Linked DNA regions of Cricetulus griseus. The protein of the gene in region 1 purifies or fractionates together with the protein of each later gene. This does not show direct contact. Links are inferred from orthologs where the notes say so. Each region holds a gene or a part of one and is shown in the gene's direction. Other genes may lie near its edges. The genes, in order: Csk, Tns3, Tns2 and Pxn.

Region 1 (6,264 bases):
CCCAAACTCATGGATATCAGCTAAGATGCTTTGGTCTCAAGGGCATTCGGGCAGAGGGGTAGAGAAGGGCCCCAGGCAGCACCCCCATACCTGTCCCTTACCTTGTAGGCCGCCTGGCCATCCGGTACAGAATGTATTGCCAAGTACAACTTCCATGGCACTGCTGAGCAAGACCTGCCCTTCTGCAAAGGAGACGTGCTCACCATTGTGGCGGTCACTAAGGTACTGTGGACCTTAGATGCCTATCCCATTCTTTCACCTCCAGGGATTCCCTCTGGGTTTGGCTCCCCAGCAGAGGGAGGTAGACCTGAGAGTGTGTCTGGTTGCCCTCTCTCCAGGACCCAAACTGGTACAAAGCCAAAAACAAAGTGGGCCGTGAGGGCATCATCCCAGCCAACTATGTCCAGAAGCGTGAGGGTGTGAAGGCAGGCACCAAACTCAGCCTTATGCCGTGAGTACCAGGAGGAGGGCTGGAGTCTCCTGGTTTGGGGAGAAGAGAGGAAAACAACCCTGAGTAAGAGGCGTTGTAGGAATGGAACAAGAGGTTGCACCTAACAGAGGGAATAGGCACCCAGCAGAAGAAAAGGGGACAGGGAGAAGATGGTGCCCTGGCTGATTGGAAGCAGTGGGAAAGCGCATGTGGGGGGCTGGCAGGAGGCACTGGGGTCAGTGCCATTGTGACCCCCAGCCTTGCCACCCCCTAGCTGGTTCCATGGCAAAATCACACGGGAGCAGGCCGAGCGGCTTCTCTACCCACCAGAGACGGGCCTGTTCCTGGTGAGGGAAAGCACCAACTACCCTGGGGACTACACACTGTGTGTGAGCTGTGAAGGCAAGGTGGAACACTACCGCATCATGTACCATGCGAGCAAGTTGAGCATCGATGAGGAGGTGTACTTCGAGAACCTCATGCAGCTGGTGGAGGTGAGTAGGGGTGCTCCCCCTTCTGCCCACACTCAGACACACCTGAGTCCACCTGAGGACATTTCACACAAACCCAGCACCAAGTCACCTGGCAGAGTAACCTGGACACGTTGACAGCACACCCCAGTGGAGCACCTGCTATGTGCCAGGGCCCATAGTACCCCAACAAGGGCCCGTTTTATAGATAAGGACACAAAGTTCTGATCAGTGAAAGTCTCTCCTCTCTCTGTACGTTGGAGGTGCCACTAGACTTTGAGGCTATCTGATCCAGAACTCAATTCCTCTTCCACTCGAACCTCCTCGTGTGTGTGCCCTGGCCACCAGGGTCCTTCAGGCCTTTGCACACCCACAGGTCCTTGCAGCTTCCGACACCAGCTCTGTCAGCTCTGACCAGGCCATACTTGGCAACAGAAAACTGTAGGTTCCCTCCAAGCTCACTCTCATCCTGTCTCTGGTTTACATTGGCCGAGGACACCTGGCTGGAGGCTGGTGCAGGGAGCAGGCCAGGCTTTGCTGTTTACCTTAAGATGCTGGTCAGGCCCACAGCAGTAGTGACAATTGGGAGTCCAGTAGCTGATGTGGGTGGGGTGACACAGGAAATGGACAGGCATTCCCACCCTTTTGAAATGAGGAACCTTTCACACAAAGCAGCTGGAGGCTTCGTGAACTGGCCTCTGCTGCCCCCTGGTGGTCAGACCTGAGCAGCCCGTGAGTCTATGAAAAATGGGGCCAGCGGGTCTGGTTCTGAGGGCCTGCCCTCCCCCTCTCTCTGCAGCACTACACCACAGATGCCGATGGACTCTGCACTCGCCTCATCAAACCAAAGGTCATGGAGGGCACAGTGGCCGCCCAAGATGAATTCTACCGCAGTAAGTACACTAACTACATTTCCACTGGCCTACCCTGGTGGTTTGGAGACATCAGACATCCCACATCTAAAGCAGTTTGGCCTGTGCCTGCCATCTCAAACGGCCTCAACTCTCTGTTCACCTCACTGACACACTGCTTTTCTGCCCCCACCCCACAGGTGGCTGGGCCCTGAACATGAAGGAACTGAAGCTGCTACAGACGATTGGGAAGGGGGAGTTTGGAGGTAAGTTGAGGGAGCCCCGGGAGGGTCTGAGAAGCTTCGGGTGTCCAGGAAACCGCATCCCTCCCTTCTTCCTCCAGACGTGATGCTGGGTGATTATCGGGGCAACAAAGTTGCAGTTAAATGCATTAAGAATGATGCCACTGCCCAGGCCTTCCTGGCTGAAGCCTCTGTCATGACGTAAGTTGAGACAAGCATAAGGGCAGGTTGCCTGGGGCCTGGGTGGAACGGGGGAGGCTGGCTGACTGAACTCTGAACTCTGGCTGACTACTCTGTCCCGCCTTGTCCAGGCAACTTCGGCACAGCAACCTGGTCCAGCTACTGGGTGTGATTGTGGAGGAGAAGGGTGGGCTCTACATTGTCACAGAGTACATGGCCAAGGTGGGTTCTCCTCAGCCTCACCTCTCCCTCCTCCCAGCCCCTCCACTTTGTCCCCACTGAGCTTTGAAGTTGCCAATCCTGGCCAGTCACTTACTTACTGAGGGACAAGTCGTGCCCTCTCCAAGCCACTGTTTCCTAAGTGTTCTGGATGTCCCCTGTTCCCTTTCCTCACGTCCCTTTCTGCCCTGCCCCCCCAGGGGAGTTTGGTGGACTATCTTCGATCACGTGGTCGTTCGGTGCTAGGCGGAGACTGTCTCCTCAAATTCTCACTGTGAGTGATGCAGCCTGGGGTGGGACTAAGAACTTGAAGGAGACCCCTGCCCTGCTATGGGAGCCCCAGTCTGAGGGGCATGTGGCTGTCCTGTCCTCAGAGACGTCTGTGAGGCCATGGAATACCTGGAAGGCAACAATTTTGTACATCGGGACTTGGCTGCCCGGAATGTGCTGGTGTCCGAGGACAACGTGGCCAAAGTCAGTGACTTTGGCCTCACCAAGGAAGCCTCCAGCACTCAGGACACAGGCAAACTGCCCGTCAAGTGGACAGCTCCGGAAGCCTTGAGAGAGAAGGTGAGCAAGGGTCCTAGAGTCATTATCCCCTCTCCTGAGCTTCCTAAAATCAAGGCTGATTATCTTATGCACATGGCAGAAATTTTCCACCAAGTCTGATGTGTGGAGTTTCGGAATCCTTCTCTGGGAAATCTATTCCTTTGGGCGAGTGCCTTACCCAAGAATTGTGAGTATGGGTCTGGGAGCCAGTGCGTTGCTGAAAGTGATGGCGGGTGGCAAGAGTAGCATCCATTGGTAACTGCCTCGTACCTCGGGTCTGTCCGGCCTGAGGCAGGGCTGAAGGCCCTTCCTAGAGAGGGAATGTGGGTAGGGCTCCCTTCTCTTGTAAGGCACCAAACTCATGCCACCTGCTCACAGCCCCTGAAGGACGTCGTCCCTCGGGTGGAAAAGGGCTATAAGATGGATGCCCCGGACGGCTGCCCGCCCGCAGTCTACGAGGTTATGAAGAACTGCTGGCACCTGGATGCTGCCACACGGCCCACCTTCCTGCAGCTTCGAGAGCAGCTGGAGCACATCAGAACCCATGAGCTGCACCTGTGACCTCTGCCTCCGCCTAGGCCCTGGGCCTGTAAGGACAAGGCCTAGAAGATCACAGATCTGGTGCCTGCTGCCCACTGGGCCTGAACTTGAACTGAGCCCCAGTGGGCTGGTAGGCCTCCTGCCTCTGACCTGCCTGTCCCTTCTGGCCCCCCAGGGACCCCACCTAGGCCTGGCATCTCTTATGGACCCACCCACCTATAGGGCTTGGGGCACTCACTGAAGGGGCTAAGGAGGGAGGAGGACAAGGAGCGGGAGGCAGTGCCCCCACTGTGGTCAGCCTTCTCTTGGCCTCCCATCACTCGCCTTCTTAGAGTTTTATTCCTTTCCTTTTTTGAGATTTTTTTCCGTGTGTTTATTTTTTATTATTTTTCAACATAAGGAGAAAGAAAGTACCCAGCAAATGGGCATTTTACAAGAAGTACGAATCTTATTTTTCCTGTCCTGCCCCTGGGGGTCGGGGAGGAATCAGCCTCTCTCTAGGGACCGATCACCCCAGCCTGTTCCCCATCCCGTGTTCCATGTCCAGTGTTGCCTCGGTCGCCTCTGTTTGCGCTTGACCATGTTGCACTGTTTGCATGTGCCCGAGGCAGGCGTCTGTGCTGTGGCCGCTCACCCACCGCCTTGTGAGTTGGAATCGTAATAAACCACTCCCATGAGGACACCGCCACCCAGCCTCGGCGCTTTCTCCGCCGAGCCTTCCTGTCTGCACAGTCGTCTTCCCATGCCATCTTGTCCATCCCCCCTGTCTCTGTGAGTGGGGCTGAGAGGGAAGCATGGCTAGAAGATGTAGCCGCCTCTTTGTGTCAGCTGCACGAGCCAGTGTCCTGTGTCTGCCCATGGGGGAGTGCTCACCGCCTGTCCATTCCTATCAGCTACCACCTGAGCCCAGCACCTGGGCAGCCTTGGGCTCTGAGACCAGTCCATGGGATGCTGCCTGGGAATTCTGGCTGCTTCTCCTGCCATGCTGTCCAGGCCGGAAGCACAAAGAATTGGAAGTCCAGGCCTGCCCAGATGGGGATGTGGCCCTGGGGCAAGAGCCCAGATAAAGAGCCTCAGAAGATACTGACCTCAAGGGTGACGGAAGGGGAGCTGCTGGGGATTCTCACATTTCATCTAACATGTGACAGCTTTGCTTTTCCTCACCCTACTGTGTGCCAAGCCCTGGCTTTCCTGGGCTTTGCATGGATTCAGGCACCTTCCTTATGCCCCAACTGGGGTAGACAAATGGAGAATGAGAACCAGCTTGGGCTTTTCTTCCCCCCAAGTTGTGCAAGGGCGGTAGAACCCTGGTGGGTAGGAGAGACTTGATTCAGTAGAGATAAGTAGGGAGGTTCCCCTTATCCCATCATGGTCCTGGCCCTCCTCCTCCAGCCTGCAGGACCTTAGACCAACGAGTTTTGGCTTGAAGCATGTCTTCTGTGTACCTCCCCAGGCCCACTGTGTTCCAGTCCCTCCCAATGCAACAACTTTCCCCACTAAGCTGCCCTTTGCACACCCTTCAGGCTGATTTTTGTGAAAAGCAGACAGATTAGTCATTCAACTGCAAATGTCCAAATACCTGCTGAGGGTAGACTGCTGGATGCTTCTGGCAGGTAGCAGAGTGGACCCTGTGGAGTTCATGGTTGAGAGGACAGTTAGTTACACACAGATAATGACAGGCTCTTCTGTTGTAAAGGAACACCCAACAGGAGAGTATCATAGATCAAGAAGTGGCATCCATGCTGAGTTCAGGATGGGTGCAAACATAGGTGGGGCTAGTAGCACCCCAGGGAGAGGAGACCCTAGTAAGGGAGGCTTGTCCAGGAGCTCTGAGAAGGTGGGTGACAATAACCAGTGGACAGCACCAGGAGATAAGAGATGGGGCTAGGTAGGGAAGGTTGTGGCCTACATGTGTTTCTTACCAAGGCAAGAGTTACTGTAATTCAGTGACATGTTTGGGGCATCAGAGACATGTCAAGTAATGCCATTCTAAAGTAATCACCCCAGGTCCCAGTGGGGAAGTGTGAGAATAGAGTAAAGATGATAAGAGGTAGTCGATGTATCAGTAAAACTTAGCAATGGGGTCAGCATGCTCCACAGGGAAGGAAAGGGAGAAGCCAGACGCCTCTGACTCTCCCTGATGGGTGTGTGTGTGAGCTAGGCAGCTACCAACAGAGAGGACCAGAAGAGACCATCACAGGTTCTACTGAGCTCAAGCATTCTGAGTTGAGTGCTTTTGAAACTGCCAAGAGGTGGGGGATTGATAAAGCATAGGCTGGAGAAGGAAACTGAGAGCTGTCGTGAATGGATTGAACCTAAAGGATGAGGTCCATATGGTAGGAAAGGGCAAAGATGAAGCCGAGGGGGGCTCTAAGAACAGGTCAGGAAGAAGTTCACACACCTGCAAACCCAGCACTCAAGAACAGGTCAAGAAGTTGTTCACATGCCTACAAACCCAGCACTCTTGAGGCAGGAAGATTATGAGTTAGATAGAGGCCAACCTGGGCTACTTGTTGAGACACCATCTTTTAAAAAATTAAAAATTGCTTCTGCAAGGCATTGAGATTAGGAGGGAGCAGGGAGGGAATGTTACTGAGGTCCAGGCAGAGGTCTTCTACAGGTGGAAGCCACTGGGACCTGCCTCCCAGAGGGCATGGAGATGGACACTGTTTTTGCCCCCAGGTCCAAGGAAACTGCCCTAGTAACTTCTGTGTTTGGCCAGGCCCATACCAGGAAAATGTATCTGACTGGAAGGAGAGGGGATGGGGGCAGAGGGAGTGGGA
Region 2 (7,611 bases), on another chromosome or scaffold:
TGGGGAGAGTTAGTCTCTCCATTGTTAATGAACTACTGGGCACCAGGGCTGTTCTTTTGCACCAGAGTACTAGAGGAAGCAAAGCAGAGGAAATCCCTGCCTCAGGGCTGAGCAGCTCAGAACAGGTGGAAAACATTGATGCTTACTCTGTATAAGCAAAAACCCAGCAGGGATGAGGAATGGGGAGCTCTGGGGGCAGTGAGTGCAAAGGCCCTGAGGCAGGTTCGCTCCCAGCAATCTGAGAGCAGTGGAATGAGCAGTAAGGAGATGAATCTGAGGGAGCTGTTAGGACTTCTTCACTGTAGAAATAACTTTTCAATATTGCTAATGGGTGCCCTTCTTTAGGCTCAGTGGGCCGAGCGCTTTCAGTACATGCTTTTAGTTCTGGTGACTTCACTGAAAGCTGGGAATGATTATTTCATTTTATCAGTGAGGAGCCCAGGACAACTGGAATGTCAGGACCAGAAATTTCACAGAGCAATGGCAAGTCCTCCAGGATGAAAGAGAAGCTAGTATGTCCAGAGTAAAGAGTGACAAGTGGCACTTCACCAGAAAATAGGGTGGGCACAGTGAGGACAAGAGCTGTTTGCTCTCCTGCCTGTGGTTCCTGCTGGCTGGTCCAGTTGAGGAGCTATAGCCCTTGGGCAGCTTCCTCTGCCTTCCTGGGCTCCCTTGCCCTCTACATCCTCTAGCAAGAAATGCCCAGCTTGGGAGCTTGGTGTAGGTTTCTTGGGCATGTTGTGATTTGAGAGCTAGCTATGCATGCAACAAGAAGCTCGTGAGAGTCCAGCATGTCTCTGGATCTTGTTGGGATTGGATGGCCCCTTTCTTTCCAGCCACTGGGATTGCCTGTGGGAACATAGCCATATACTGTCTGAGCTGTAAGGATTTATCAGACCCTCTTAGGGGCTCAGAACTGGGCTGGGCCAGGCTGGATCAGGCTTATAGGCAGGGTAGATATCATGCTGTTTTCCTGCATCACTGTCAGGATTTCTCTTATTTGGGCCTGGGGATGTAGCTCAGTGGTTAAGATCACATACCACTATTGCAGTGCTTTGGAGTTTGGTTCCTAGCACATCAGTGGTGGCTCGCTACCTCCTGTAACTCCTCCAGCTCCATAGGATCTGATGTCCTCTGCTGACCTTTGTAACTACAGTACTCATGCAAATACCCCCACTCCCATATACATATAGTCAAAAATTGTTCAAAACTCAAATTGTAAAAAGCTGCTATTAATAAAAGTAACAAAGGATGATTCCTGGCTGCCAGAGAGAGAAATAGCCCACTCTTACCACTTTCTGGGTCCTTCTTGGTGAACTGTTCTTTGCATAGGGACAACTAGAGGATCGGCTCTAGAAGTTTTTGAAGGCACTTTTTTTTGTGTGTGGCTGAATTCCAGTTTAAACTAGAAAATTAGAAGAATATTCTTACAGTTCATTCTTGCATTCCCTTTTCTTTTTAAGCCTTGGTACCATTTAATTGAGGTTTATGGAGAACTCATACTTCATACCTTATGGAAGCTGTAAGTGAACTGTCTGAGCAGCATGCACTCTGCCCTTGAAATGAGCAGACTTCTGCCCTTAGCTGTGTGTTCCAGTGATCTGTAATCTGTGCTCTGGTTGCATGCCTTGTGCAGGGACTGGAGTAGCAGCCATCTGGCATTTTGCCGCACGCGCACTCGTGTGTGTGTGTGTGTGTGTGTGTGTGTGTGTGTGTGTGTGTGTGTGTGTGTGTGTGTAGGAGTGGAGTTGTCTCTATAATTCTTAAGGAGCAGAAACTTCTCATCAGCGCCTTTCTCACACTGTGCAGATCAGAACAGAAGGAAGTGCACTGGGTCTTCTGCAGTTGAGTTTCCTGCAGCAGAACACCCTGATACCAGATGGAGTGATGCTTCCATGAGCCTATAATGATGCTCTGGGTGTGCTGCCATTAGTTCTCAGGTCAGCCTCCACACAGAATCACTTCCACCTTTTCTCATGGGGATTTGAAGATCAAGGTAAACTCCCTGATTGGGAGAGCTTGGGAACGAGCCATGGGCTTGATGTTTGCAGGGATATATATATATATATCCCTAGTGATTCTGCACATGGTTACATTGTTTCCAGGGGCCATTCTTTTATAAAACCTCAGTGATTCTGCACGTGATTCTTTGTAAAGATGACACAGGATCATCTTTCCAGGCATTTTTGTCTGATTTTCAGAGCTGGGTGTAGCATGTGCTTTTAGTCTCTTTGTGTCTGAAACCTGGCTCAGTGTCATTTGCTGTGTAACTCTTCCCAGTTAGGGTCACCAATTGAACCTCAAGTTTGTGCACTCCCAGCCTTCTGTATACAGGTAGGTAGGTGGTGTCAAGCTGCAGGTGCACCCGGGCCCTGGAGCCTGGATTCTGGGCACCTTCTACTCCTGACAGCTGCTTAATCTTATTTACTCTCCTAGAGCCTCTGATCTTACTAAACAAGCAATAACGATATGAAGGTCCCATGACTCCACACCCCGTCCAGCATACGTGCGTGTCACCACCTGCCATCTCTCTGCACACTTGCTCTATTTACAGTTTGTGTGTGATTCCCACCCCCAGGGCCTCTCTCCCCCAAGTTCTGCTTTAAGATGTGGTTGGGCTTTTCCAGGCTAGACTACACAATCAGTGTTCCCCATCCGTGTCCCATCGTCTCTGCATGCTTGCCCTATACTGCAGTTAAATTGAGAAAGGAGCCCAGGCTAGGCATGTTCTCAGAGCTGTGTTTTCAGGGCTGTGTGAGCGTGTGGCACAGCACCCCATACCATTCAGTCCCATTCCCACCATGTCAGCCACCCCAGTATTTCCAAAAAGGCAGCAGCTGCTGAGTATGATCAAGTGTCCAGCTGTGCCCAGGGACCATGAGACACATGCCCAGGGCTAGTCTCTCCTGAACTACTGCATGAATAGGCTCAGTAGCCACCAGAAAGGTGGAGGGTGGCTCAAGCCATGAATCCTGGGTGCCTAAACAGCTTAGGTTTCCAGCCATCAGCAACTCCCTTCCTGTGCAATGCCTATGATTCCACAGTGCAGAGAGTCCAGGAAAATGGGGGAGGCTTACAGGGGAGATGTGTGTGAGCTCCAGCTTATTTTAGGAACCTCTTGCTATAATACACCCTGTGTGACCAAGGCAATTACAGCTGCCAGTCAGCAGATTGTGGCTCGTGAATCTCCACGTACAGCCAGCTGCCAGGGCCCTAATTAATAACAGCAGCAGCTCTTCCTGTCCACATTGTTTCATGGCATTCCATGTATAGTGCATGCAAGTTAGGTCCAAAGATCCAAGATTCTGACGGTTATTAGATGCCTATGTTGCCCAAGGATCTTGTGCAGTAAGAACAGGTCCTGAGCCATCCCTATACTCCCCCTTTCCATTGAGCAGCATATTAGATTTTAGCACATCCCAGAGTGTTGATAGGATGGCAGGTTTATCGGTGACATAGGGGATTTAATGACAGTTGGCACCTGCATGCTCAAAAATGTTAGCTGTATGAGATGTAAGTACAGAGGAGCAGTTGATTCTTGGGGATTCATGAGCTGAGCTGGGCTCCACATTCAAAATAATGAGATTAATGATTCAAAGAATGAAGAATCCCCAAGATTCTCTATCGATGTGTGCATGTGTTTGTGTATATATGTGCAAGTGCCTGTGTGAGTATATGTGTGTGGTGTCCCACATGGGTAGGTAAGCATGAAGCTGGGGTATAGCTCAGTGATAAAGCACTTAGTAGCATTCAAGAGACCCTGGGTTCCATCCTCAGCACGACAAACAAAACCAAAAAGGCAGTAATGGTTCTAGGCAAATATGTTTGATACGTGACTCCTTTTTACTGATGCTCACTCTTCAGAGGATATATGGAGTTTTAGGACCCCAGTTGAGTCTGCACCTGTTTTCTGTTGAGTTGCATTGTAGATTCACTCCTCTGTGGACATAGCATTGTGCCCACTGTGGTTCCTGGTATTCCCTTTGCTCCCTGGCTTATGACCTGTCTCTTGTTTTCCCTACAGTGCTACACACACAGGGCCCAGTGGATGGAAGCCTGTATGCCAAGGTGAGGAAAAAGAGTGCCTCAGATTCTGGCATCCCTGGCAGCCCTCAGGGCATGCCAGCCACCAGCAGTCCAGACCACGGTGACCACACCCTGTCAGTCAGCAGTGACTCGGGTCACTCTACTGCCTCGGCCAGGACTGATAAGACAGAAGAGCGTCCAATCCCAGGAGCACAGAGGGGCCTGAGCCCTCAGGAGAAAGCTGAGTTGGACCAGCTACTCAGTGGATTCGGCCTGGAAGACTCGTCGAGCTCCCACAAAGACATGACTGATGTGCGAAACAAGTATAGTGGGACGCGCCACGTGGTGCCAGCCCAGGTTCATGTGAATGGAGATACTGCCCTAAAGGACCGGGAGACTGACATTCTAGATGATGAAATGCCTCACCATGATCTGCACAGTGTGGACAGCCTGGGTACTCTCTCCTCCTCTGAAGGGCCACAGTCAGCCCACCTGGGCCCCTTCACCTGCCTCAAGAGCAGCCAGAACTCCCTCCTGTCTGATGGCTTTGGCAATGGTGTTAGTGAAGATCACCATGGTGTTCTTTCTCCAGACCTAGGCCTTGGTGTAGACTCTCTTTATGAGCGGGAGCGGATGTGTGGGGGCCGAGAGCCAAAGCAGCTGCAGCCCCTGCTGAGGAAGCCCTCTACACCCACCCCACCGCAGGCCTATGGGCAAAGCAACTATTCCACCCAGACCTGGGTGCGTCAGCAGCAGATGGTGGCTGCTCACCAGTACAGCTTTGCCTCAGATGGGGAGGCCAGGCTGGGCAGCCACAGCACAGTGGACCAGCCCCAGCCCCATATCCCAGTTACTCCCACACGTGGAGCCAGCAGCAGGGTGGCTGTGCAGAGAGGCATCAGCAATGGACCAAATCCCCCTGACACACAGCCACTCTGTTCTGGTAAAACACTCCAGCCCAGATTTGCAGAGGACAGAGTCATGAATGGAGGCCATCAGGATCTGAACACTAGTCATTCCCCAGGCTCTCCTACTCTGGATATTGACCAGTCCATTGAGCAACTTAACAGGCTGATCTTGGAGCTAGACCCCACCTTTGAGCCCATCCCCACACATATGAATGCCTTAGGCATCTCTGCCAATGGCTCTGTATGTCCTGATGGTGTGGGAAATGGGCTCCGGTGTGGTGGCAGGCTGGACCCTGTGGAAGGCCCTGGCCGGAGCCCTGGCCAGCAAGGTGAGTTGATAAGATGTTGGGGTCAGGTAAGAGATTGTCTAGCTAAGAATTTGGGTTTTCTGAAATTCATTTCCTTTGCAGTTTCTACTCTACTAAGCTGTGACCTAGAATCCAAATGGTTCCTTGGGCACTATGGGAGCTTGGTAGCAATTTGAATGGTGGGAAGAAAGAAATGCAAAACTTGTGTATAAAGATGGTTTGGGACAGAGATTAGGCCTGTTAAAGACGAATATCCCTGTCTTATTCACACACTGGTCACATCTGTTTCGGAGTGCAGCAGGCCATTTGAGAACACCAGGTAGCTTGATCCATGCTCCTCTGCCACCTGGTAGCAATGTGATTCAGAACCTGTGCACAAATTCTCCCAGCCTCGGTTCCCACATCTGGAGAGTAAGTTTAGCAATACAGCTTTTCTCCTTTCAAGAATGTTCTTTTCGGAGGAGGGCTAGGCCTCTCAGTTACAATTGATGGGCTCTCAAGTCCTCCTTGGAGGAAAAAAGGTCTGATTAAGCAGTCAGGATGTGCAAACTGTCCTATTTACAAATGTATTGTCTGAGTTTTGAGACACCATTGGAGGGTGTTTATGGGTGGCAGTAGCCAACCTGTGTTAGAGAGAAGTTTGGCTCAAGAATGCTGAGGGAGACATAGAACAGAAAGCGAAGAGTGTGGAGTGGGCCCAGAGAAGCTCAGATAGGGCAGATCCAGGTTCCTAGGTCCTGAGAACATGATCTAGAGCCAAGACTATGGACCATGGGCCTAGGTACGTGTATTTGCTATACCCTCTGAAGCAGATGAGAGTTGGCCAGTTGCCAGAAGAGAAAACTCTGGGCCTTTCTACCTTAGAACCAGGAGAACTAGACACCATGACAAGACCTTCTTTGGAAGGCCAAGGTTAGTGGGAGTGGACAGTGACTTCTGACCAAGTCTCTGGGAATGTTTCTGCGTCAGTGTGATGAGGCCTGCTTTAGGATCCGGTTCCTATCAGATGCTCCCAGTGTTAACATGGGTCAAGAGGGTTTGAGAGCTGGTTGAGTCATTTAGTCTTTAGATGAGAAAGCAAGCTAAAGTGTATGACATCCTGAGATGTCAGCACTTTCAGATCTTGGGCAGCACATCCTGAGAAGGGGTCTGGGAGATGATGGAAGGAACAAGGCTTGGTCTGGAATCTGCACAATGTTATCCTTGGAGGAGACTGACCAAGGTGAGGTATCTATGTGTGGGTGATGTAGTGGATGCAGGAAGTGGCAGGTAAGATGGATCCATGGGTGTTACTAGGAACCATGACCTGGAGGACGAGAAAGATAATGCAAGAAGGCTTTTAGCCATCTTCTCCTTCCTCTCATTAGTGTTTTTCTGTGCTTCCCAGAGTCCATGAGCATCCCCCTGAGTTTGTGTGCTAGTGATGCTGATGGTAGAATCCCATGAGGATGCTAAATATTGCTTTGGGGTCCAAGCAGAATGGCTCAATTCATCTTCACAATACTCTTGTTTTAGAGCCTATCCCACCTTGTCATCATGTTTGTAGAGGTTAGTAGGTGATGTCAGATCCTGAGCTCACGTGGACCTTGTGGAATAGACCCATGGTTTCTGCCGTCTTTGGAAGATTGCAGCCTGGCTGATGTCTGGATCCCTCTCCAGGCAGGAGCATAATCTTGCAGCATGGGTCCTAGCTAACATCAGGGTTGCATGGACTGTCAGCTAGCTGGCATGCTGTCATTAAAGGATAGGGCTGCTGTGACTTTTCACTCATGCCATCTGTGGAGAGGAAACTCTATCCCAGTGTCTGATGATAAAAGGTGTGAAGAAAGCCAGATTACATTACCTGTCCTGTGCTGAGATCCATCATTAGACAAACAGCAGGATATTGTAGTTGTTTGAAGTGGCTAGGGCGGGGGTGGGGGGATGTGGTGTTGACAGAATGAAGACTTCCTATCTGGTATAGTTCCCAGGCTGTGATACAGCCATCAGCAACCCCAGCCATCATGACAGAAAGAACAGCAGTGACTAAGGCCTCAGGCCAGGTCAGTTCTTGTAGCATGAGCTCATTGAATTGAATATACTAAGGAAATTCAGAGTTCTAAGGTTTGAATGGAAACAAAAGTCTGTGCAACATTTGTTTAATGAGTGTTCTTGGAAGATGGTACTTGGGATAGTAAAATAAAAGGCTTTTCCTCCAGGAACAAAATCTCTCCTGAGGTTTGGAAAAGTTTGCAGGTGTCTTATGGTGTGTGTAGGGAGGGGCATAGGACAAGGTTCAGGTGACTGTTTTCTTGTTGACTGAGTACTGTCCTGAGGGATTCCCCTTTCCTGTAGTAAAGCAGGGTCAGGGACTAGAGAGCATCACGTTG
Region 3 (7,611 bases), on another chromosome or scaffold:
CCTGGGACACAGCCAGGACTTGGGTAGGGATTACAGAGCCAGTGGCCCTCTCCAGTTACAGTATGGGGGGCCACACCTTGCCACTCAGGTGCCACCCTCTAGCCAGGGTACACAGGTGACAGGCTTCCTAGAGAATTGGAGCATGCAGGAAGAAGGCTCAGGCTTCCCAGTCTGATGGTCTTTCTAAGGTGAACCAGGGAGGAGTAGAGCAGCCCTTCACCTGGATGAACAGGAGGCAGAGGAGGGAACTCCTGTGGAACCCTGTGAATGTAGCCAGAACCGGAGGAGTTGCACTGGGACATTCAGTAAATACCATGCAAATGAGGACGACAAGATTGTACATTCTTTCAAGTGACAGCTACAGCATTCCAAAGGCTGCTGTCCAGGGCTTGAGCCGAGAACCCCCAGGCCATTGACCCTTGTTTTAGGAAGATTGTTCTATCGTTTCCAAGGCCCTATCCACCTCCTTCCTTGACTCCTGGGACAGGAAGTTGGCCCTATTCCCAGGAGGGAAGCAGGAGGCCCTAGAGGGGGTGGAGAATGTGTTGGGAGGGGGCCTCCTGTCCAGTCCTCAGGTCCAGTGACAGCCACAGATGAAGAAGAGCCAGGCCCAGAAGAGCCATGAAGGTAGTGCTCAGGTTTGAATGGGTGGGTGGGTGGGGTCCCAGATACAGGGGGACTAAGCCAGGAACTGTGGGTTTTATCTGGAGCACAGTAGCTGGGGTCTTCAGGTGGAACCTTTCCAGGGCCCTGGGTTGCTCTGGACCACTCACTACTGTGGGCAGCTGGGCTTCTGGCTGGTGCTTGGCCTTGAGGAGGGTACTGCATGATCTTCCCCATCTGACAAGGAAGCTGGCCCTCATTCCTACTTCTTTCACCCTAAGTAGTCTGAGTCCTAGCCTGCCAGGGGTACTGGTTCCCAGCTCCACTCCCTTCCCACAGGAAGTCCCAAGGGAACTTAAGAGTCCAGGCTAGAGACTGGCTGGGGACACAGTGTTCTTCTCTGGCCCTCAAGCCCAGCCCTGAGACCTGAATTCCCACCCTGCCCCACTGACTGATTCCAGGGCTGGATCTCAAGACCACAGACCCCTACACAGGGTGGCCCACCGGGTGAGAGGCAGCTCCAGAGGAGAAGGGGAGAGCCAAAGATCTTGGGCTGACACTCCCAGCAGGGGTAGATCCTGGGAATCTGATCTCCTGGCCTCCCCCACATCCTCCCCCACCCCACTTCCTGGAGCAGCGACCTGCCCCCTTCCCGCCTGCACTTCCCTTCACTTCCAGGGCCAGGCTTCTCCACACACCAGCCAGACAGCCTCCCCTCCACCCAAGGGAAGCGGCTGCCTCGGCCAGGCTGCTTCCAGGAAGCCCCAGGCCAGGCCCCAGCATTGTTCAGGCCCTGCAGCCAAGACCCAGCCAGCCAGACACCATGAAGTCCAGCGGCCCTATGGAAAGGTTGCTCAGAGCCCTGGGGAGGGACAGCAGCCGGGCCACCAGCAGGGTAGGAGTGCCCACCAGCTGGGCAAAGGTGGGGCAGGGTGGAGGTGTGGACAAGGGGGGAGGGCCAGGATTCAGGCCAGACCCTCTTGCTAATTTCAGCCTCTTCTCCTGCTCCTTACCTTGCCTCAGTATTCCCCTCATTCCCCTGCCCCCCTGAGGTGGCCAGGGTGGCAGTATGATCCTGCCATCTGTTTGGACTTCTCTGCCTTTCCTTGCTTGAGCCTGAATAAGCCCTGGGAGTTCAGCAAAGAGCTTAAGCCCTGACCTCCCAGGGAAGCTTGAGAGAAAAGGGATGGGAAAAAAGCTATGAAAGGTAGGGAGGAGGCCAGGTCTCCAGGCACTGTGACTGGGAGGATGCCTTCCACTGACGTCATCTGCACATGATGTTATCAACAAGTATGTCCAAGTATCCTAGTGGGTCCCACCTCCAGTCCAGAAGAGGTCTGGAACACTCAAGGGACCAAAGCTGTTCCTCCCCCTTGCCTTTCGAAGGTGTTAACACTGTGGTGGGCAGATCCAGGGAGAGGGGACAGCAGGAGCTGGTATACAGATGAAGAGTGTGGAGGGACTGTCCACAGACTTGGGGTGGGAGGCACGGCCTGCAATGGGAGGGACTGAAGTAGGACCTGGGCAACTGGAAGCACCCCAGCTGCTAGCTTCACTGTCGCTGGATAGGGAGGGGACACACAGAGGCAGCAAGGCAGCTGCTTGTCTGTCCCCGCTGTCATTCCTCCTTCCAACATTGCCACCCCCTTCTTATACAACTGCTGCTTGCAGCCTCAATGCACAAAGAGTAAACACGTTGTTCTGACCCTGAGGGAGGGGGGCATGTCAGCTGCCTGGAGCTTGGAGACATTGAGAGCCAGGGGCTCAGGACTGGCTACAGCCAGTCTGGGTGTTATGTGACAATGTGCATGTGTGTCTGGGCCATCAGCTCATGTATACAAACCTCATCTGGGGAGGGCAAGATGGAAAGAGTCAGACCCCCACTCTGCCAAGATTTGGAAACCCCTCACATTTGAAGTGGCAGTGACAAGGACATCACATAGCAGGGCCACGTGAGGGGACCTAAGTGATCCCTTAGGGAGGAGTTGACCCAGCCAAGGTGATGCAAGGGGTCACATTCCAAGTCCTGTAGAGGACAGGCCCCATGACTACCCCGAGACAGCTGTGGCCAAGTGTGCCTGGGAGTTCAGAGGCTTTGAACTAGAAGGGAGGGAAGCAGCAGCGTCTATCCAAGGCAAGGTTTCCAATTCAGCCTCAGAGATGGGTCCACTAGGAACTCATACCTCTATCTATCTGTCATCCCACCCGCAGCCTAGGAAAGCAGAACCACACAGCTTCCGGGAGAAGGTTTTCCGGAAGAAAGCTCCGGTGTGTGCAGTGTGTAAAGTGACCATCGATGGGACCGGTGTCTCCTGCCGAGGTGAGGTGCTCTTCCTGCGTATCCAGAGCCCTCCACTCAACACCACTGTGCTGGGTGGCTCTAGGAACAGGCAGGCTTACAGAGCAGGGACAAATGCCCTCACTTGCATGACACCCACCTTGCCACAGCCCAGTAGATCTGTGACTCTGCCACCTTCCCATCCTCACCTGTGACTAGAGGCTGCCCTTCCTCCTTGCCTCCATTCATCCTAGACCTCTGGCCTGAATCCCAGACTCTGGAGCAGAACCTGCTGGTACCCTGCCCTGCTCACTGCTCCAGCAATCTAGTGTTAAGTCCCAGGGTTGACTTTCAGGGCCTGGGGAAGTGGAGGGTGCCCACTTTCACTGCCCTCTAAGCCTCTGCTGTTCTCCCCTCCTTCTCTAGTCTGCAAGGTGGCCACACACAGAAAATGCGAAGCAAAGGTGGGTACCTGGTCCTAGCTGATGGGGGATGGAGTCTTTTCACTGCCCAGACACGCTTTTTCAGCCATACTGGCATGTTTCTTCCACCCAGTCCCCTGCCATTCCTGGAGACCCCTCCTGGGTGGCAGGGGTGTTGTGCCGGGCCCTTTAAGAACTACTCTACTCCACCCCTGGAGGGTTGGCCCAGGAGGGTGGACAGTGAGTCGGCAGCGTTTGTCTTGGTGCTGTGCCCAGGCTGCAGCTGGCGAGAGGATGGGGGGGTGGAGAAGCAGGAGGAGGAAGGGTGGGGTGGACAGAGAGGGAGCAGGGTTTCAGAGACCAGGCACTGGAATAGGCTGTACCTTCCCTCTGGGGAAGGGTCCTCAGGATGCCCAAGTTGGTCTTAACCTGGGTGCTGGAAGGGCTGGACCTCTACAGGTACATGGTGTAGGTGGCACCCACTGTCTACTGAGAACCTGAAACAGCCCCATCCCTGAGGAATGCTCCTGGTTCCTCCTTCAGTGCAGGGGGTAGTCCCAGGGCCTCAAGCTAGCTTGGGGGAGCTATGTGCCCATGGGTGGGGTCTCAACGGTGAAAGAGGCTAGTGTCCACCCCTGGCCATTGCCTGCCTGCCCGCCCCTATATATAACTCCTGTCCTGCAGCTGGATGAATGGGGGTCTGTTTGGGCAGGGGGCTGAGAGCCAAAAGCAACAAGCAGGGGGCCTGAGAGGTGGGGGACCAGGAGGCCAGAAGCAAGGCTTCCCTTAAATAGAGGAATAGAGGAACCTCAGCTGGAGCCTGTACTCATCAGTTGACAGCCCCTCCACGTTATCTTTCACCAGCTCAGTCACTCATCTCCTTCCAGGTGACTTCATCCTGTCAGGCCTTGCCCCCCGCGGAGCTGGTGAGTGCTCTAGGATGGGGCAGGGAAGATAGTAACCTGACTAGTGTCCAGAGGTCTGGTGGTCTCAGAGTGGGGGCGCCAGGAGGTTACCTAAAACTGAGCGTTGTAGTTACTGACTGTTCTAGCTCTCCGCTGTTACTGTCCTCTAGAGCCTGGGGTGCGGGAGGGGCGGGGGGGGGGGAGACTGGAGTTCCCTCTTTTCCCCCAGGGAGTAGATAGACACGGACATGCCCTCCCACCCCCACCCTCCAGGTCCAGACTGGTCATTGCCCCTGCCCTAACCACTCCCATTTCCTCCCCCACCTCCTCCCTCTAGCGGAGAAACACTGCCCCAGTACGGCGCATAGAACACCTGGTAAGGGATGCTTAGGGGTCTGGGGGTGGGGGGTGGGTAGCTTTTGGGAGACCACGGTTTGTGGAACTTTGAACTGGGAAGTCTAGAAGAGATGCGTCCAAAGACGATGTCGATGTACGGTTTCTCATCCACCAGGGATCCACCAAGTCCCTGAACCACTCAAAGCAACGCAGCACTCTACCCAGGTGAGAGCGCCCGGTGATCCCACGTGGGCACTTTGCACAGGACCCCCACACAGCTCATGGCATTGGTCCCCAATAGAACACCCCAGGACAATGCTCCCCCTCAGGACCACGCACCCTCGGGACCTAGCAGGCCTCCCAGCGCTCCCCAGGACCTTTCTCATAATACTAGCCCCGTGGGGCGCCTCGCCTCTGTTCCCTAAATCAGCTTTGCGACCTCTCCAGGAGCTTCAGCCTGGATCCGCTCATGGAGCGTCGCTGGGACTTGGACCTCACCTATGTGACCGAGAGGATCTTGGCTGCAGCTTTCCCCGCACGGCCGGACGAGCAGCGACACCGGGGCCACCTGCGCGAACTGGCCCATGTGCTGCAATCCAAGCACCGGGACAAGTACCTGGTGAGGAGCGGGTTGGCCAAATTCAACCAATGAGAGGGCTGGGAGGTCCAAATGAGCAAGGCTACTGTTTGTCATCAGAAATGGAACTGGCAGGAGGCGGGTATTAGTGTACAAAGGCGAGGCGGGGCGGGGCGGGCCGGGCGGGCGAGGCGGGGCGGGGCGGGCCGGGCGGGCGAGGCGGGGCGGGGCGGGCCGGGCGGGCCAGGCCGGGCCTGAGCTCAGTGGGGCGCGCAGCAGCTCGCAGAGAATTCAGTTCCAGATGATTGCAATCTTATTTTAGAGTAAGATTGAGGGTCCACCTCCAGCTCCTCTGTCTGAAGTTGCCTTCATCTAACTCTTCCCTTTATTTCAGCTCTTCAACCTTTCAGAGAAACGACATGACCTGACCCGCCTGAACCCTAAGGTAGGAGGCAAAATGGTCTGTCTGGCCTTTAAGCTGAACCAACCCTATGAGAAGGCCCTGCCTCCTTGTTATTAGTAGCAGCTGACATCCATTTTACTCTTAAGCACCTCTCATATGACACACCATTTAAGATATATGAAAACATGGTGCAGTATGGCTGTAAAGTGTCCAGGCTACTGTGGGACCACTAGCAAGCCCCACTTTGCACCAGGGCCCCTGTTTGATGTTCATACCCTCTCACCTCCTTGTTCCTGCATACGCACGCACGGATGCACGCACGCACACACGCACGCACACAATTCTACCCTTGTATTTCCCCAGGTGCAGGACTTTGGCTGGCCTGAGCTGCATGCCCCACCTCTGGACAAATTGTGTTCCATCTGCAAAGCCATGGAGACATGGCTCAGTGCTGACCCTCAGCATGTGGTCGTGTTGTACTGCAAGGTAGGCTGGGACCTTGGGGTCACAGAGCTGAGGCATCCTCATCCTAGAAGAGTAGGCCCAACAACCCTATCTCTTTATCTCTCAGGGGAGCAAGGGCAAGCTTGGAGTAATCGTCTCTGCCTATATGCATTACAGCAAGATCTCTGCAGGGTGAGTTGCCCTGTCCCAGTGGCCCTTCCTCACCTGGCCCTGTCTGAGTTTCCCTCTTTAGTCAGAGTCCTACACTATAAACTTGGTGTGATACTGCCTGTCTCCACTTAGGCGCCCAGGACTCCCCAACAGATGAGCTGGGCTAGTTTCCTAGGGCTGTCAGCAAAATGCCATAAACTGGCTTAAGATAACTCAATTGTCTCACAGTTCTAAGATGTTAAAAATCCAAAGTGAAGGTGTCAGTGGGGCCTAACTCTTCTCTGTGACTCTAGGCAGACTCCTTCCTTGCCTCTTTCCAGCTTCTGGTGGTGGTCTTGGCTTGCAGCAGCATCACTCCAACCCCTGCCTACATCATCACGTGGTGTTCTCTTTGCGTCTGTTTCTGTTTCTCCTCTTCTGAGGACCAGTCACCCTGAATTCAGGGCCCACCTTGCTCCTGCATGATCTCATCTTAACCTATCTAATCACATCTGCAGAGACCCTATTTCTAAATAAGGTCACATTTGAGGTACATTTCTGTGGGGGAGGGACATAATTCAACTCATCAGATTATCTAACTGCCCCACTTTACAGGTGAGAAAAGTCAAATTCAGGGGGCAATTGCCTGAGGCCCAACAACTGGGACACTGTACTGTAGGGCTGCTAGCTCTCTTCACCATTGGGGGTCCCCTCTACACTGAGGGGAATCCCATGGTTCCTCCTTCCCTGGGGCTTAGGTGTAGAAGGCCAGAATGAGACTGATTCCTAAGCACCCCACCCGCCCTGCTCTCCCCAGGGCAGACCAGGCGCTGGCAACTCTCACCATGAGAAAATTTTGTGAGGACAAGGTGGCCACGGAACTGCAGCCCTCCCAACGCCGGTGAGCAGCCCAGTGGGGAAGGGCTGATTCTCCTGCTCAGGCAGCAAACTTGAAACCCACAATGCACCATGCCAAGTTCTGGGAACCGAGAACAAACAGGGTCAGGCTCTCATGGCATTCACTTGCTAGTGGAGTGGAAGGCAAGAAGCCACACATAAACAAATGGACTGGCTCACTCTAGGTGATGGCAAGGTTTGTGAAGAGAGTAAAGCAGAGGCCTGTAAGAAAGGCTTCATGGGGCGAGGGGAACTTGCCTCCTTGAAGTTTGGAAGGACAGTCTGGGTCTCTCAAGGTTGGGTGGAAGGTCTGCACTGTTGAGTTGCTGATGTTTTCCTTGGCACTCTCCTGCCAGCTATGTCAGCTATTTCAGCGGGCTGCTGTCTGGCTCCATCAGGATGAACAGCAGCCCGCTGTTCCTGCACTATGTGTTTGTGCCCATGCTGCCAGCCTTTGAGCCCAACACAGGTGAGTCCACCTGAGATGTATTCCATGGGGGCAGCAGCCATTTTCCACCTCCCTTCACCCACCCCCCTCATGTCCTTCACCCTCCAGGCTTCCAACCCTTCCTCAAGATCTACCAATCTATGCAGCT
Region 4 (8,323 bases), about 74 Mb from region 1:
GTGTAAACATGAGGACCTGAGTTTAGATCTTCAGCTCCCATATAAAAGCCTCGTGTAGCAATGTGTGTTTAGAACCTCGGTGCTGTGGGGGTAGAAATGGGTGGATCCCAGGGACTCAGTGACTAGCTAGTTTAGTAAAACCCTATCGCAAAACAAACAATGTTATTTTTTGAGGCCAGCCTGTTTTACATAGAGAGCTCTAGGACAGCCAGGGTTACATAGACCATATCTCTAAAAACAAAAACAATAACAAAAAAGGATGGGCTGGTGAGATGGCTCAGTGGGTAAAGGTACTGTAAGCTTGGTGACTTGAATTTAATACCTAGAACCCATGCAAAAGTGGAAGGAGAGAACCAACTCTACAAAGTTGTATTCTGGGCCAGGTGGTGGTGGCGCACGCCTTTAATCCCAGCACTCAGGAGGCAGAGGTGGGTGGATCTCTGTGAGTTTGAGGCCAGCCTGGTCTACAGAGGTTAGTACCAGGATAGCCAAGGCTACACAGAGAAACCCTGTCTCAAAAAACAAACAGAAAACTCCAAAAACCAAAGTGGCATGTGATAAAAGAATATACCTGGTAGCTGGGTGATTGTGGCACACACATTTAATCCCAGTACTTGGGAGGCAATGGCAGGCGGATCTCTGTGAGTTCGAGACCAGCCTGATCTACAAAAGCTAGTTCCAGGACAGCCTCCAAAGCCACAGAAAAACCCTGTCTCGACCCCTCCCCCCAAAAAAGGACATACCTGGCATAGATTTCCAACCTCCACACAGGCTCGAACTGCTGAGCACACATACACACGCACACACAAAAGAAAAGAAAGAAAACAAATAAATGAGAAAGGCTCGTGCCGCTGGGAGTGGTGATGGAGGTCGGAGAATTGAGAGTTTGGGGCCACCTGGCTTACATAACAGGACCCTGTCTCCGTTCAGAGGTGGACGTTACCATGCTGCAAGGCACCAGGTTCTAGCTCTAGTACCATAAAAATAGAATAGAAAAAAAAAAAAAAAGAAGTCAAACCAGAATCTGGCCCATAAACCAATAAAGCCAGACACAGCATCGCACCATGGGTGCAGGGCATGGGGACTTGTTGAGCGGGCAGTGGAACTCCTGATTTACCGGCTAGCAGGGAAGGCCATTGTCTTCCTTGGAGTGTTTGGAACTGGAGGGAACTGTGTTATCCCTTAGCCATCTTTGGCAAGGGGGACCTCAGCCCAGCCCTCTATGGCAGTGTTGTTGGGTTGGGGGATGGCAAGTTCCACAGGTGAAGCTCTTGGCCCTGATAGGTGTACAGGACTGCTCTTGCCAGCCCCATCAGGGCTGTATTTGTGGCCTGCTCTGTGGAGCTGGCCCTGCAGGCTCAGTCTGTGATGGAGGAAGAGGAGTTCCGCCTACTTTGGGCTGGGCCCAGAGGAAATGGACAGCAGGTGTGGCCCTAGAGACTCTTTGGGATTGGCTTTGGACATTAGTTCCTTTTATGCCCTTACCTAGACTCATAGAGACTCCCTGTAGTTCCGGTTTGTTGGAGGCAGGAAGTCAGAGCTCCTCCGGGGGACCTGGACGGGGAGGGGCTGCAGGAGCAGAATTTCTTCAGCAGCAAGAGACTGGGACCCAGGGTCCCGGCCTTCGAACAACTTCTCGTCCAGCCATACAGCAGGAGCCAGGGGTAGGTGCACCCACCCTAGTGACAGGTAGTCAGGGCTGCTAGGAGAGGGCATGACCTCAAAGGCCCTTGCTTCCCTTTTCTCTGCATGGGAATGGAGCTACAGACAGGGCCGCCAGCAAGGATCAGAGCTCGAGCCCCTGGTGTGTAGGAAGTTGAGTTCCTTAGATTTGGTATCTTGTCTCTTTGAAATCACAGCAGTCCCTCCTGCAGGCTTGGTGTCTGGGACTTAAGGAGTCTGAGGAGTCTTGTGATCCTGCCCTTTCCTGCTTTATCACTCAGGGCAGGTACTGCTAGCCTCCAAGCCTACTTTCCTCAGCTCCAAAGACAACAGTTTGGCCTTTTAGGTCACCAGAAGGGGCACTTGTTTGTGACCACGCGTGTAGATGCCTTTAGTGGTTCCTAGTAGATGGTGATCAGTGCAGTGCAGCCACTGCCCCTCGATTGCCACTCACGAGGGCCCAGGAAGCAGGTCACTAGATGCTGAGAGTGAGCAGGTCAGTGAGCAGTGCAGGAAGGAGGGAGGGTGTGGTGAGCGGGGCTGGACTGTACCCAGGCCGTGGCACTGTGGAAGGTCCCAAGATGGGAGGCTATGGCAGGAAGGTCAGTACCTCCAACTCCTGTCCCTCTAGCTGTCCCTTCCTGTCGAGAACCTGAGCCTCTTGTCGGCTACTGCATGCCAGGGTAATGGCAGCTTGTGTTGGAGATCTGACCCACCCCCCATTAAAAGCGGAGTCATGGGGCCCTGGAGTTTCTAGGGCTGGGCTGCTTGCCAGGCTTTGGCAGAGCAGTCTTACTCCCAGCTTGTTGAGGGGGTGGCTGCTGCCGAGCTGGCTTCATGCCAGCCCCCTACCTCTCTGCATACCTTACCCACAGCCTGGGGCCTCAGGAGGAGCTTAGAGCATGGAATTCCGCTCCTACCTGGAGCACAGGTGCTCCCTAAGGCCACCCCCTGTCTTTAGACTTGGGCTGAGGCTCTTAGAAGTCCAGAGAGGACCTGGCTCTATCTACCCAGCCCCTCCCTGTGCTGTGACATGACGTAGGACTCCTCCCACCCAGCTCTCCCAGTTGCCCTCAGGAATCAGAGTTCTAAGCAGGCATTTCTTGCTTACACCAGGCAGCAGCAGCCTAGCCTTGTCAGGAGGAATGCAGAGCCAGGCATCTAACCCCTGAGGGAGGAGAGGACGGGCAGCCGATGTGGAAACTCCAGGTCTCTTCTCCCATCGAAGCAGCAGGTGTCTGCCAGACAGGATCTCTTCAAGTTCAGGAAGGCAGGACACTGCCCCTGGGAAGTGCCCAATAGGGCCAACTCTCACCAGTGGACGTCTTCTCTTTGCAGACGCCCTGCTGGCAGACTTGGAATCAACCACCTCCCACATCTCCAAACGGCCAGTGTTCTTGTCAGAGGAGCCCCCTTACTCCTACCCAACTGGAAACCATACCTATCAGGAGACTGCAGTGCCACCCCCTGTTCCACCACCCCCATCCAGCGAGGCCCTCAATGGCACGATCCTTGACCCCTTAGACCAGTGGCAGCCTAGTGGTTCCCGATACACTCACCAGCAGGTAAGGTGGGGTCTGCGGAGCCCTTGGGGGCTGAGTGGTAAAAGGAGCTGATCTGCCGAGGAGATGGAAAGCCATTGGGGATGGACTGGGATTCTGGGCTCCTAGTCATACACTGCCCTTCTCACCCACCATGTGAGGGGCCAGTGACCAAGTATTAATCACCTGACTAGCTGTGGAAATTCCCTGGTGAGACAAGCTATGAGCAGGAGCTGCCTGGGGGTGGCCTGAGTAAAGTACTCTTTCTTCTGCAGCCTCCATCCCCGTCACCTGTGTACAGCTCCAGTGCTAAGACTTCCGGTGCCTCTAACCCTCAGGACAGCGCTCTCTGTTCCCGAGCAGGCGAGGAAGAACACGTCTACAGGTACAGAACCAGCACTGTACATCAGCCCGGCTTCTGGGAAACCCTAGGGCCACTGGTGGAACTATAGAAGGCCTGAAGGCCCCTGCCAGGCCCTGTGCTTGTCAGCTGGCTCCCCTCTGCCCTGTCACTGCCTTCTCTGTAGAGACAGCATCTCTGTAGTTGAGAAACTGAAGCAAAATTTCCTTCCTCCTTGCCTTACCACATTCCTTCCCTACCCTCCGCCTTCTTGCTGAAGAGACTTGGTAACATTCCACCCCTCCGGCCTTGAGAATCTGGGGCCTGCCACATCCAGTGCAGGGCAGAAGAGTCTTACTTGTTTCCTCTCCTTCTCAAAGCTTCCCCAACAAACACAAGTCCGCAGAGCCTTCACCTACCATGATGAGCTCCTCCCTGGGCAACAACCTCTCGGAGCTTGACCGTCTGTTACTAGAACTGAACGCTGTGCAGCACAACCCTTCAGGCTTCCCTGCAGGTGTGAGCGGGTCTCTGGACTACTCATGGGCCTTTGGGTTCCTAGAGGACTCAGGGATGAGCAACCATTTTGTTTCCTTATCTCCAAGATGAAGCCAACTCAAGCCCCCCACTACCTGGAGCCTTGAGCCCCCTTTATGGTGTCCCAGAGAGTAACAGTACCCTGGGAGGAAAAACTGGGCCCCTGATGAAAGAGAAGCCAAAGCGAAATGGAGGCCGGGGCCTGGAGGATGTGCGGCCCAGCGTGGAGAGCCTCTTGGATGAACTGGAGAGTTCTGTGCCTAGCCCTGTGTGAGTATCCATTAGGGTCTCCCCAGGCTGGGGAAGCTCTTGAAGTCTCACCCCGACTGTCTTCGGGCTGTGTGGTACCTGTCCATCAGCCCTGAAGTCACCTGCTCCCTACAGTGTCTGCTACTTGCCAGGTCCTGGGGATATGGCATGACCCGGCAAAGCCAGGGTTAGCACAGGTTTGCTGATGTGGCACAGGGTTTAGATCATGGCTGTGCCAGCTACAACAGTCTTACTCTCGCTCTATAAGTTGGAATAAGCCAAAGTAGGGCATGGTGACACATGGTTATAATCCCAGCATTTGGGAGGTCGAGGTTTGGAGATCTCAGGTGCAAGACCAATCTGGGCTATATAAGTGAGTTCCAAGACAGTCTGAACTGCATGAGACCATAGCGCAAAAATACGACATAAACTATAAAATAGGTAAAGCAGACAGTAATAATGGAGATGACCCTACATAGTAAATAGAGTGAGACCAAATAGTATATAATAGTATATAATGTTGGGGGGGGTGGGGGCTGGCTCGTAGCTGTGGCAATCACAGCTATTAGGGAAGCCCCTAATAGCGTCAGGTCTTGTTTATTTTGAGGTAGGGTTTCACTCTATATCCCAGACTCTTCTGAAACTCACTATGTAGTAGCCCTCCTGCCTCAGCTTCCCAAGTGCTGGGTTACAGGGATGAGCCACCATGTGTCAGTGTTTATTGATGTGTAATAATCTCGCATGTGTATAGTGTTGAGAGGCTTTGTAGTGGTGCCCCTGTCTTCCTGTAGGGGTACTGTGAACCACCTACCTTCTCTGGTCACCTCACCTCAGCACTGTTTCTTAGCTAGTCACTCTTTCCCAGGGATGGGGATCCCTAAGGTGCTGCTGGGTTCTGGTGGCCTTCCCTGGAGTTGGAGGTGTCGTTGATCTGGAGCCCCCCCCGTGGAGCCTGGGGCTGACCCTTGGGCTCCTTACTGACTCCATGCCTGCCCCACAGCCCGGCTATCACTGTGAACCAAGGTGAGATGAGCAGCCCACAGCGAGTCACCTCCAGCCAGCAGCAGACACGCATCTCGGCCTCCTCTGCTACCAGGGAGCTGGACGAGCTCATGGCTTCACTGTCGGATTTTAAGGTGCCCTCTGATTCTCTCTGTCTTCCCTGCTCCCATCCATTACCCTTCCTCAGTATGACTAGCAGCTCCTCGGGGCCCTGGAGGAGAGAGGCTAGGTAATATTCAAGACTGAGCTCCTTAGCAGCTTGTGAAGGCAGAGAAACCAGAGATGCCTTTAGCTGGAACATTCCTCCCTCTCCTGGTGATCCCAGCCACCAGGTCAAGGGGACCAGGAGCTGGAACACAGTGACAATGAGCCCTGTGTTGATAGCTGCTCTTGGTGGGGGAGGGTATGTCCTGCTGGGCCCCGTGGGACCAGGACCTCATGCCTGAGAGGTCACTTGTCCCAGAGCTGTATCTCCCACGCTATCTGTCCTCAGAGCACCCGCTTTCTTTCTGCTGTGGGGATGGGGTTTTCCAGCATTTCCAGCCAGCTTCCTTCTACCCTCACTTTCTTCTTTAAGGGCCTGAGTTCCCAGAGTCCTGTCTGTGGGAAACTTAACCTGCCAAGCACCTGGCCAGTCGGCATGAGGCGTCCCACCTTCCCCTCCCAGGCTCTCCAGGCCTGCCTGTCCACAACGTTTTCTTTAGAAGATGTGGTGCCTCAATAGGGATTAATACTGACTGAAATTTCTCATAGTTGCTGACTTCAGCTCCATGTGGGTCAGCCAGAGACCTTTGAGGCACAGCTTGGGGAATATGAGAAGGGAGCCAGGCTGTCTGTCCATTCTTGGCCTAGAAGGTGCCTCCTGCCTCCCTTCAGCTGGACTCATACTTGGAGCTCACACGGAGGTGGGAGATTGGGTGGAATTGGGGCTGGTAATAGCAATCACCTTGTTGCTGTGGTGATAAGCAGCCAGTCAGGATCCAGGCACTGATGGTGCTGGTACCTGTCCCTTAAGGCTGCAGTTGCTTTCTTAGACCTGTAGTCCAGTGCCACACGAGGAAAAGCTACACTGTGTCTTGGAGCCCTAGAGAAAGGACTTGAGGATATAGGAAAGCTGGGGTGGGCGGAGCACAGAGCTGGTGCCTGTGCCAGCTTCCCCTTGTTTGCACCTAGAACCAGCTCTGGAGCTCTCTTCCCATCATACAGCTTATTGCAAGTCCCCTTGGTGCTTACTGTGGGTGACTTTGTAAGCATGGCTTTGTGGATGTTTTCTGTTCCCTGGGTCTCCTAGAGTGCAAGGATGTGAGGCTCAGGCAAGCATTTCTGGGGTTAGACTCTTCCCAAAGACTCTTATGTCTATGCATTGCGGATGGTGGCTCTCTCAACTCTCAGGCCATGCCTGCCTGTTGCCTCACCTCTCTCCATGTCTCTCTCTCCCTTTCCCTTTGTCTTTCTCCTCCAGACTAGCTCTTCTGCTGTGGTGCTGAGCTCCCAGGGGCTGCTGCCCAGCTCTACTCCATTCCTACCCATCACCCTTCTTCATCCTCCTCCTCCCACTAAATTCTCCCATGGAGGCCACACCCCCATGGTCCTCAATAGGGAAGGAAATAGTCAGGTCCTTCTACCTTCTGGGGCTCCCAGGAGGCTTGATTTGGTCAGTCTCAAGGGGACATCTGGCACTCCGAACTCATGGTGTCCCTCTGGGGAGGGTTCTCAGCAGTCATTTGGTGCTAAGAGCCAGGCTCAAGTTAGGAATGACCTCACAGACTCCATGACTAAGCCCTTTCAGACTCCCCTCTGCCACACTCTGCACCCAGCTGTGAGCACAGGATCCCAGGGGCCGCTGGCCAGCTATGTGTGTTCGGAGGAGACGGTGGCTCCCGTTGAGAGATGGCCACAGGCTGTGCCAGGATCCAGGCCTGAGATTCCCCCCGGAGTGACTTACAGCATCCAGGAAGGGACCGAGCCAGCTGTCATGGCAGTGGATCGGCAGGCTGTCCTCCCAGACACCTGGAGTCTCACCAAGGAATGTGGCCAGCAGGAGCGAGCACAGTCAGAACCAGAAGGCCTAGAAAGCAGTTGCCCTGCCCCAGCTAATGAGGAGCAATTAGGTGGAAAGATTCCCTGGAGAGGAAGCCTGGGGGGACCAACCCAGGCACTTGAGAACCCAAGGAACCCAGAAGGTGCCACCAAAGCCACTCTGGAGGCCAGGAAGGAAGAGCCGGAGTTTCCTCATGCCGGGGTCATGGGCACACCCAACACCTCAGAGAGGATCTCCACCGCTGGCCAGGCAGGCAGCAGCTTGTGCAGCCACTAGGCTTGAGTGTGGGCCACTCCTTGCTAACCGCATGCAGCCCCTATAAATGTCTGCCTGGCAGAAAGTGCCAAGGATGGTGGCCCTGAGGATGTGTCGGGCAGTATTGTTACCTGGACCCTGCTGAGTGGTGGTGATGCTCCACCTTCTGCTTGCTCAAGACTGCCTTTAGAATTGCTGTCCCATTTTCAATGTGCAGAACAGTGAAAGCATGGATTTGGGAACCATACAGACCCACACACCACTCTGGCAATACCTGCTAGCCATGTGACCCTGGGGAACCACCCAGAGGCTCAGCTTTCTCTTCTTTAAAATGGGAGCAATAATAGCACACTTTCTCAGGTCACCCAGAGGATTAGATGTGATAATTCCTGAAAAGTAGATAAAACACCATACCTGGTTTTCCTTCCTTCACTCCTGGCTGTTGGTCCTGCCTTAGCCTTCTGAGTGCTTGGATTATAGTTGTGCGCCATCATGCCTGGCTCTTATTTTTTTCTTGTATGATTCGAACTTTACACCTCTTTCCAGCCCCCCCCCACACACACACACTGCAGATGAGTAAGTTACAAGGTCAACTGGGAAAAACACTGGTTAAAAGATGTAAAGAAAAAAGGAGCCTCCCTTTTTCTATTTAAGTCGGAAGGAAAGAAGGGAGGGAGGGAAAGGGCTGTCAAATAA

The links.
Region 2: the proteins of Csk (region 1) and Tns3 purify together in Homo sapiens (affinity purification with mass spectrometry; 4 studies listed by BioGRID and IntAct, with this or other methods). This does not show direct contact. The link is inferred for Cricetulus griseus from reciprocal best matches to the Homo sapiens genes CSK and TNS3.
Region 3: the proteins of Csk (region 1) and Tns2 purify together in Homo sapiens (affinity purification with mass spectrometry; 6 studies listed by BioGRID and IntAct, with this or other methods). This does not show direct contact. The link is inferred for Cricetulus griseus from reciprocal best matches to the Homo sapiens genes CSK and TNS2.
Region 4: the proteins of Csk (region 1) and Pxn purify together in Homo sapiens (affinity purification with mass spectrometry; 4 studies listed by BioGRID and IntAct, with this or other methods). This does not show direct contact. The link is inferred for Cricetulus griseus from reciprocal best matches to the Homo sapiens genes CSK and PXN.

The regions. Positions count from the first base shown.
Region 1 is NC_048597.1:169,254,053-169,260,316, reverse strand, and holds the end of Csk (tyrosine-protein kinase CSK), read left to right. Parts: intron 1-108; coding exon 109-222; intron 223-338; coding exon 339-451; intron 452-704; coding exon 705-924; intron 925-1,699; coding exon 1,700-1,793; intron 1,794-1,951; coding exon 1,952-2,017; intron 2,018-2,094; coding exon 2,095-2,194; intron 2,195-2,304; coding exon 2,305-2,395; intron 2,396-2,592; coding exon 2,593-2,666; intron 2,667-2,766; coding exon 2,767-2,962; intron 2,963-3,041; coding exon 3,042-3,128; intron 3,129-3,319; coding exon 3,320-3,502; 3' UTR 3,503-4,169; downstream 4,170-6,264. UniProt on the Homo sapiens protein: Non-receptor tyrosine-protein kinase that plays an important role in the regulation of cell growth, differentiation, migration and immune response.
Region 2 is NW_023276807.1:96,520,229-96,527,839, forward strand, and holds part of Tns3 (tensin-3), read left to right. Parts: intron 1-4,024; coding exon 4,025-5,263; intron 5,264-7,611. UniProt on the Homo sapiens protein: May act as a protein phosphatase and/or a lipid phosphatase. Involved in the dissociation of the integrin-tensin-actin complex. EGF activates TNS4 and down-regulates TNS3 which results in capping the tail of ITGB1.
Region 3 is NC_048595.1:398,502,842-398,510,452, forward strand, and holds part of Tns2 (tensin-2), read left to right. Parts: exon of another isoform or gene 1-621; coding exon of another isoform or gene 622-627; intron 628-711; exon of another isoform or gene 712-1,426; coding exon of another isoform or gene 1,427-1,498; intron 1,499-2,808; exon of another isoform or gene 2,809-2,814; coding exon 2,815-2,923; intron 2,924-3,307; coding exon 3,308-3,345; intron 3,346-4,167; coding exon of another isoform or gene 4,168-4,190; coding exon 4,191-4,229; intron 4,230-4,545; coding exon 4,546-4,584; intron 4,585-4,719; coding exon 4,720-4,769; intron 4,770-4,991; coding exon 4,992-5,163; intron 5,164-5,515; coding exon 5,516-5,566; intron 5,567-5,887; coding exon 5,888-6,010; intron 6,011-6,095; coding exon 6,096-6,160; intron 6,161-6,935; coding exon 6,936-7,019; intron 7,020-7,371; coding exon 7,372-7,484; intron 7,485-7,571; coding exon 7,572-7,611. UniProt on the Homo sapiens protein: Tyrosine-protein phosphatase which regulates cell motility, proliferation and muscle-response to insulin. Phosphatase activity is mediated by binding to phosphatidylinositol-3,4,5-triphosphate (PtdIns(3,4,5)P3) via the SH2 domain.
Region 4 is NC_048597.1:95,636,936-95,645,258, forward strand, and holds the start of Pxn (paxillin), read left to right. Parts: upstream 1-2,841; 5' UTR 2,842-2,856; coding exon 2,857-2,896; intron 2,897-3,000; coding exon 3,001-3,227; intron 3,228-3,478; coding exon 3,479-3,588; intron 3,589-3,923; coding exon 3,924-4,060; intron 4,061-4,148; coding exon 4,149-4,350; intron 4,351-5,329; coding exon 5,330-5,465; intron 5,466-8,323. UniProt on the Homo sapiens protein: Cytoskeletal protein involved in actin-membrane attachment at sites of cell adhesion to the extracellular matrix (focal adhesion). Recruits other proteins such as TRIM15 to focal adhesion.